2 linked regions of the Bombyx mori genome follow. The protein of the gene in region 2 interacts with the protein of the main gene of each other region in a biochemical or structural test. Links are inferred from orthologs where the notes say so. Each region holds a gene or a part of one and is shown on either strand. Other genes may lie near its edges. The genes, in order: uncharacterized protein LOC119628334 and tyrosine-protein phosphatase 10D.

Region 1 (4,560 bases), on a different chromosome or scaffold from region 2:
AAATGAAACATCATTCTTGTTAGTAATATATATTTCGCCATTGTAAAATCGTTACAGAACTAATTAGTTTTAGTAATTAAATATAGTATTTCAAAAATAAATATTTTTATATTGGATATAATCTGGTTTTTTTTGGGTAGATGAAACAAAAACCACATTTTAGTATTTAATTTTAATATTTTTAAGTACATAAAATAAACCTATCAACTAATTTGTATAATATATAATAATATGTATAATCTTAAATTAATTAGTAATTTGACTTCGATTTGTTACTTGATAATTCAAAAAAAAAGCGCTAGATAATTTGGTCGAATTGTTACTCGAGTGTACACATAAAGGCACTAATATGAAATGTGTCAAATATTTATTGTGTGACTAGCGCGTATATTCTATCACTTGTTGCTTGAAAAAGAGTTAGCTCAGTTGTTAGTTTCATGATATAACTCTTAAAAATTAAATTTTGTACGTGTGGCTCACACTGCTTCTGGCACGATGTTGTTGTGGTGGAAGGGACTGCTCTCATAGGACATGTTGGATGCATTGACAGTGACGCTGTGAAGTGGAGCATATCGGCTTAGTTTTGGAGTGGCCGGACCTGTGAGGTCTTCGGACAACTGCTGGTATACCAAGCCGCAGTCCTTTTTGGTGCGGCCGGGTTGACTCATCGCTGCAATAATGGCACTGTTGTATCTGAGCTGCCTGGTTCTTGATTTACACGTCATCATGACGACCTTAGCGATAACGATTAGCAACAAAAGCGCTCCGAGGATGGCAATGGATATTGGCCACAAGTAGCTGTAATGGCCGTGTTCTTCCTCGGTCGATGTTCGTACATAGACGTCTGGCTCAGAATTTTCGTATAAGTCTAAGAGCTTGATGTCAATCTTAACTTTCTCTGTGGCCTGTTGTTCAGATTTCTTTGTATTCTCAGATTTCGAGTCCGTTTTGTTGATGAGCTCATATTTAAGATCTATGTCATCATTCTCGTAATCTTCGCCAGAGTCGTCTTCGTCGTCATCATCGTCGCCCTCGTCTTCATCATCATCGGGATCAACGTCATCTGATTCTTCATCAGTGCTATCAATTATTAGTTTGCTGTCAGCAGAAGCGTTGGTATCATCAGGAATTTTACCGTCATCTAAGGTGTTCTTCAAATCGAAATTACCCTCAGTGTCCTTGTCGATTCTTTCCCAAATTTCTTCGTCAGATACAGCCGATAATGGTTCAACAGGATGGGAAATAACTGTAGTTCCACAAGTCTTGATAGTCAGGAAATCCCAGCTGTAAGTGGCATCATCATCTTTTCCATCTCTAGCCATATTGGCGACGTTGGCAGAGTTACCAGTAGGCAACACTGTGTGGTTGTTCAGCCATGTCATGAGGTTTTCAAAGTCTCGGCTGCAGGCCAACGGATTGTTGGTAATGTCTAAAGTACGTAGTTTGTTCAAATTATCTAATTCGTTTTGTTTAATTTCCGTAATTCTATTGTGGGATACATTCAAGAATAGTAAATTGATAAGAACTGTCAGTGGGTGATTTTTATCTACTTTCCACAAAGAGGTTAATTCAGCGTGACTCATGTCTAGCCAAATCATGGCCGGAGTGTGGACAAAAATTTCCGCAGAAAGTACTTTAAGAGGGTTACCTTGTAAATTAAGCTTTGCAAGTTCATTGTTCTTTGCGAAGAGCTTAGGATCTAAAGTGGTGAGCATATTATAAGCAAGATTGATTTCCATTAATTTAGGGCAGTGCGAGAAAACGGTATTGTTTATGGTAGTTAATTTATTATTCGATAGATGAATTATTGACAGAGCAGAGAATGTTTTCAGAGAATTATCGTAAATCTCTTCTAGACCACAGTCAGATGCGCCAAAGAAGTAAATATTAAACTGATCAGATGAGCATGTGAAACCTTCAACCGGTAAATGTTTTAGCCGTGGGTTGTTTGAAATTTTGAAGATGTCAAGTTCGATGTTTTCTTTGATAAGAATACTGGACATGTAATCCAAATTATTATACGACAAATCTAAATAATTGAGTTCTACTAATTTGTGGAATGCCTGGTTATGGATTTTCTCGATACTATTTCCGCTGAGGTTGAGATTAGCAATAAGACCCATACCGTTGAACATTGATGGCCCAACAAACTTAATGTTTGTTTGTCCCGCATTAAGTGTAAGCAAATCGGATATTTGGAGGCCATACACTGTATCAATAGGATTTTTCAGTAAATGCAGTGTTGCTAGTTCGGTGTTTTCCGAGAAAATGTCGTCGGGGAGCGATTTAATGTGATTGTTGCGGAGATCTAACTCTTCGAGATCGAGTAATTTTTTGAATGTATCTGGATCCATATCGGATAGGTTGTTACCGGCAACATTCAAGTACATCAAACCAGGCATATTTTTGAAAGTATTTGCCGTGATGTACTGCATGTTACAGTATGAAACATCAAGCTCTTGTACAGAGGAAGCGTTCAAGAAGTAATTTTCGGACCCAGCTGCAGGAAATTTGAGGGGATTGTTTGAAAGCGTTAGAAGTAACAGCTTCTTATTGTTCGCAAACGTCTCAGGATGAAGGCTCTTTAGGTTGTTGTTGGATAGGTTGACTGCGTAAAGGTCATGGACACCATGGAAAGCATTGGGGGCGATATAACCAATCGTGCTGTTCACGATTTTTACAGTAGCAACCTGGTGAAGTCCGAGTTTTTTGAACATGAAGTCGTCTAGATTAATCGGGTAGCGGGGATCTGCGTTTTCGACCACGAGATCAAGGATATCATCGCCGAACTTTTGTGTACCGATTTCGAGGAAGCTGCACTTGGCTTGTCTGTATCCCTGAGATACAGAGCATATGCAGTCTCTGGGACAGGGCCTGTCCTCGTTGTACAAAACCTCTTGGTATTCCGCGGGTTCGTAATCCTCATATTGATCCAATAAGTTGTCGGCGTCTTTGTCTTTCTTGACGGTTTTATTGATAGATTCGCCGAATACCAGCGCGCATGCTGCCAGGAGCAGTAGTAACTCCCGGGACCTTGCCCCCATGTCGTAGCGAACTCTGAAACGTGACAAAGGGATATTTTAATCAACCGACAAAATATACATACTTATCTTTGACTATTATTAAATTATCTGACAGCAGTCAAGAATAGTGGCGGTGCTGTGATCAATCATTGGACGCGACAACCAAAGAGAATCGAGTGGGCATGTTCTTCCAAAAAAAATTATGACTTCGGTTTCTAAATTTCCAATTATATTAATGGCCTTTAATGTATGTTTGGAAATCATTCAACTAATACTACTGGGCTGACGAATTTGTTGGTTCTTAAAAGGCTTGTTTTTGGAGTGTTTATTTTGCTATAAGAACTGTACTAATTAGTTGTTTAACGCATGAAAGCTTAAAAAAATAACATCTAAACAAATTATTTGAAAACGGAATGTATGTATTTATTACGATTTAAAATCAACGCTACAAATGGAAATATCCACAACACGTATAATGAATGACACTGCCTATATTGTATCTTCGTCAATAAAATGTAGACAAAGAGAACAGATGTTCCAGGCATTGTTCTAGTGAAATCTTATCTGAGCATTGTCCATCTGTCCGTTTGTTGACTGCCTCAGTAAACGGATAGCAAGAGTTCTTGGTTTGTTAAAATTGTATTGGAATATTTTTGAATATAGGAAAAAAAAACAATTAATATAATTATGGAATCGATTTAAAAGCAAAGCTTACATATCTATGGAACATCGTAAATTCGTTGCATAGGTAATTGTTTGTTTTTTTTTTATTGCTGAGGTGGGTGGACTAGCCCACAGCCCACCTGGTGTTAAGCGGTTACTGGAGCCCATAGACATCTACGACGTAAATCAGCCACCCACCTTGAGACATGAGTTCTAAAGTCTCAATGTAGTTACAACGGCTGCCCCGCCCTTGAAACCGAAACGCATTACTGCTTCACGGCAGAAATAAGCAGGGTGGTGGTATCTACCCGTGCGGACTCACAAGAGGTCCTACCACCAGTAGTATAACCGTAATCAATTATTAAATGAAACGTTTAATATCAAACAAACCAATTAACTAAAAAAATATTTTAAAAAAACCCACGTTTTTTTTTTTCTTTATAATGAAAACCACGCTATCTGATATGAATATTTACTGTCATCCGACCTTACTCAGTGGTTTTTCCTTCTAACTATTTCGCAATATCGGCGCAGACGCCTTCTTTATTTGCATGGTAATTATGATCGTCAAAGTCCGTATGTCGTTTTACACTTCAATAAATAATAACACAGTAAACAAAATACACACTCACTGAACAGGATTAGACAATAGCTTTGCGTTGATAATTTATTGTAGAAAGTCTTTGCACTTTCACACTACGACAATGGGCACTATGCGATCGCGCTCCACGACCGTGTCGACTTCACGGATGCCGGTAACTGAATGAACTATGAAGGGCCGATATTTACCGGCCGATATGCCGAGAGCGCAAAAGGTAATACGGCTTGTTTCAGGTTTATATTGCGTGGTTGTGTTTAGTGCAGCATACACAGA
Region 2 (4,436 bases):
GAACGCGACATTGTTTATAGGTTTTATTTTGTTAACTTACTGTACCTTCAGGTTTAAATCTATACATATAAATAAAATTGGAGTGTCTGTTTGTAATATTGAAATAATCGCTTTTTACTACATGCATATTATGAATATATACGGTACATACACCAAAATAACATTTTTTACAATTTTTGTCTGTCTGTCTGTCTGTTTGTTCCGGCAAATCTCTGAAACGGCTGTACCGATTTTGACGAAACTTTCACTGATAGGTAGCTGATGATATAAGGAGTAACTGAGGAGACTTTTTTTAGACTAGCCTCGCCCCGCGGCTTCAATAATACATTGGAAGAAAAATGGCTCACTGGACTAAAACTCAGGCAATTAAAAAAATAAAAAAATTTATAGTTCAGATCCGAGCCCAGCCAGGTGGTGAATAATGCAGGTAACTATTAATAATAATAATAATAACTGAGAACAAATCACGCACGATCTTCCGGCCCCAATTTAGGATCCCCCGTGTTTTATGGGTACCAGAGACAGACAAACATATTTATATATGTTTAGATATACATATACACATATAGATAATCAGCACTCAAACAAAGAGCAGACAGAACAGACCTCTACTACGGTCCTCTCCTAGCATCTGCGTACTCTCCGGTCCCACATAGCGCGCGCACGCCCTAGGTGCGGGGACCTCGTAAAGGATCGGCTACCAGCCCAGAAAAAAAATATTAAGTGGGAGGGACCCTTATGACGATTTGACATGAAAAGCGGGTAGTGGTTTTTTTTACGGTCCAAGCATCTTTAGAGGCTCAGTGAATTCCTTCTGATGTGATCTGTGCAAGCAATCGTTGAGTAACTCGGTGGTGCAGTAGCTATTGGCCCTGACTGTTGCGCCGCGTGTTGTGGGTTCAATTCCAATGTCGGGCAAACATAGTGTGATGAACAGGTTTGTCTTTTTTATATTTATTGCTTTGATGGATGGACGAGCTCACAGCCGACCTGGTGTTAAGTGTTTACTGGAGCCCATAGACATCTACAACGTAAATGCGCCACCCATCTTGAGATATAACTTTTAAAGTCTCAGTATAGTTACAATGGCTGCCCCACCCTTCAAACCGAAACGCATTACATCTTCATGGCGGAAATAGATAAGGCGGTGGTACCTATCCGTGTGCACTCACAACAGGTCCTACCACCAGTAATTATGCAAATTATAATTTTGCAGGTTTCATTTTTATTACAAGATGTTATTCCTTCACCGTGGAAGTCAATCGTGAACATTCGTTAAGTACGTAATTTTTCTAATGAAAAGTTGGTGCCCGCCTGCAGGATTTGAACACTGTTGCATCGCTAGATATGAATGCACTGGACATCTTATCCTTTAGGCCATGACGACTTCAGTTTTTTCTTTCCAAGTTCTTTTTTCCCCTCCAATGATCCCCATGATTGGTTTGAAGAAACGATAAGGCATTTAAAATATAATGGGAAACACCTTGGGAAGCAATAAATATATATTATATTTTACTTAAAATACAAAAAATATAATTTAATATATTGCTTGTTCAGGTTCAAAACTAGATATCACCTCACTCCCCACATTTTATAAATTCATAGTGCTGTGGTATGAGGAAAACAAATGAAGTTCACGAAAAAAAAATTACAGTTAAAAAAAATAGTTAGTCCCAAAATTTTAATTTACTTCATAAAGAGACAGGATGATGCTGGATGTACCACATGCCCCACTAGCCATGATTTTAGGCACTAAGAATTTAGAAATTCAGAATTATATTGTAAGCACAGATTAAAGAAACGCAGCTTTTAGATCTCCACATTTAGTATTGAAGCACAATTACAAATAATGTTTAAAAACAAAATAAAGAATATTCATTTCAGCTTTACATTGTCATGTAGGCAGATTTTTGTTGGCATTTGATTCTGAATGCCTGCCTTTTGCTTCAGATTATTGGTTTATAATATATGCATTCATTGCTAATTTATTATGAAAAAAAAAAACCTTTTTAAAAATGTTTCTTTTTATGTGTAAAAACAAACTCTTTTAAAAAAATAAGTCTTTATGTAGTTCACAAGCTAATTCCAAACATTTATAATTCCCAAAGCAGCATTATAAACATGGAAAAGTATCTTATTTTTGTTAAGTGCCCCCACTACTAGATTTCAAGATGTTTTAAGCTATCAATTTCTGAACAGATTTACAAATTAATTTATATTAATTTTGGATAACACATTTATTTTACAAAAGAATTTCTATAATGAAATTAGATTAAGTCAGCTGTCCTATTGGTAATTTAATAGAAATGGGAAACCTGAGCCTTCATCCTTGGCCAGCACTATTGACTTTTGTTTATGGATTTCAGTAGCCACCACCAGGTGGGACGTGAGCTATATAACTATTAACAACCGAAAACTAAGCAAAGATCTTTGGTAAAATGGTATTATAAAGCTTCATTTATAAATAAGTGAAACATGCACACATAATGACACATGAGAAATACTTAGTTAACCAAATTAGTTAAATGTAAATTTTGTATAATAAATGTGTTGACAAATATGCAATATACTGTTATGAATTTATGTTTGTTTAATTCATTTTACTATAATATTAAATTTTCAAAAAGGTCATCCAAAATGCATTTTGGAAAATCAGTAATCCGTACAAAAGGCTCGTACTGACCGCAAGGATAACTAGAAGCAGTGCCAGGGCCGCAGCGCGTGCGCATCCTCCAGTCGCTTGCAAGTTCAACCTTTTCCACGTCATTGAAGACAATTCTTCGTTTTCAGGACACTTTCTCTTCGAAACACTACACTTATTTTGATTCATTATAGCAGGACATGGTTCATTTGTGCCATCACTTCTGATAATAATATAATTGCACTCGTTTGGCTCTGTTGTGGCACACACACAGGTGCACAATACCATTTTAAAACATTACAGCCTGTTTGACTCGTTTCTTCAACTTTTGTGAAGTTCTGTTTTGGTCACAGAGTACCAGTGTGACAAGATTTTATTTGACGAATCTACTGCTTGTGGAGGTTAAAATCTACTAAATTCTACCAAAAGAGAACGATAAATACTCAAAATCTATTATACTTTTTTTGCTGTCGTGTTACAATGTAAAAGCATGAATCTTCTTGATTAAACAATAAAATAATAAAAAGAAACCACAATTAATTAAAGAGACTAACGTTCTTTTTTTTAAATTAAATTCTAAATAAAAATATAATCAAATCAAATCAAATCAAAAAATATTTTTTTTATTCAACATAAATGAAAGTACATACTTGTTGAACGTCAAAAGAACTACCGCCAATTCACAAGAACTAGCCTCCGTCCTGAGAAGAATTGGCAAGAAACTCAGCGGGCATGTCTTTTTTTTTTACATATAAAATTATTATTTATTTATTTTTAATATTAATTTTTTTTTAAATATGAATTTTTTACACTGAGTATTATAACGTAACAATTACTACAATATTGAAATGCCTGGAGCGAGCAACTCATTCCCACTTTGTGCAATCTTCTAGATAATCATTGACTTTATAGTAAGCTTTATTGCACAGATGTTCTTTAATAGTTTTCTTAAACCTATGTATATGTAGGTTCTGAACATCTTGTGGGATTTTGTTGTACAGGCGCACAGACAAACACCCGAATGAATTTCGTATCTTATGTAACCTACTCATCGGCACAACAAGCTTGTGTTTGTTCCTAGTATTTCTATTATGTATGTCCGACTGTTTAGGAAACTCCTCAATATAATTACAAACATACATCAAATTTTCAAAAATGTACTGGAATGGCATAGTGAGAACTTTAATTTCTTTAAATTTCTCCCTCAGGGATTCCCTTGAGTGCATGTTATAAATAGCGCGTATAGCTCTTTTCTGCAGAATAAATATCATTTCTACATCGGCCGCATTGCCCCATAGCAAAATGCCATAGGACATGACACTGTGGAAGTAACTAAAGTAAACTAAACGAGCCGTGTCCGCGTTTGTTAACATTCTAATTTTTTTTACTGCGTATGCTGCAGAGCTGAGCTTACTCGCCAATTTATGAATATGAGGTCCCCACTGCAGTTTGGAGTCCACTGTTATACCAAGAAATACGGTTGAATCAACAAGCTCCAATGATTCCTCAGAAACAATTACATCACTATCCACTTGTCTCACATTTAAAGATGGTTTAATACATTTTAAAGTAAATTTAATACATTTAGTTTTCTTACTATTCAATAATAGGTTATTGATAAGGAACCAATGAACCACACACGAAATCGCATCATTCACTTCGTCATAGACTTGTAATTGTCGTTTAATTTTAAATAATAAAGATGTATCATCTGCGAATAATACGACCTCGTGTCGGGACTCAATAAAACTAGGTAAATCGTTTATATATATTAGAAATAAAAAAGGACCCAAAA

What was found.
Region 1: of the proteins of tyrosine-protein phosphatase 10D (region 2) and uncharacterized protein LOC119628334, one has a biochemical effect on the other in vitro, tested with the Drosophila melanogaster proteins (2 studies listed by BioGRID). The link is inferred for Bombyx mori from reciprocal best matches to the Drosophila melanogaster genes Ptp10D and Gp150.

Annotation. Positions count from the first base shown.
Region 1 is NC_085111.1:6,224,122-6,228,681, reverse strand, and holds uncharacterized protein LOC119628334, read right to left. Parts: upstream 3,045-4,560; coding exon 477-3,044; 3' UTR 158-476; downstream 1-157.
Region 2 is NC_085119.1:17,685,808-17,690,243, reverse strand, and holds the start of tyrosine-protein phosphatase 10D, read right to left. Parts: upstream 3,017-4,436; 5' UTR 2,930-3,016; coding exon 2,684-2,929; exon of another isoform or gene 607-2,683; intron 1-606.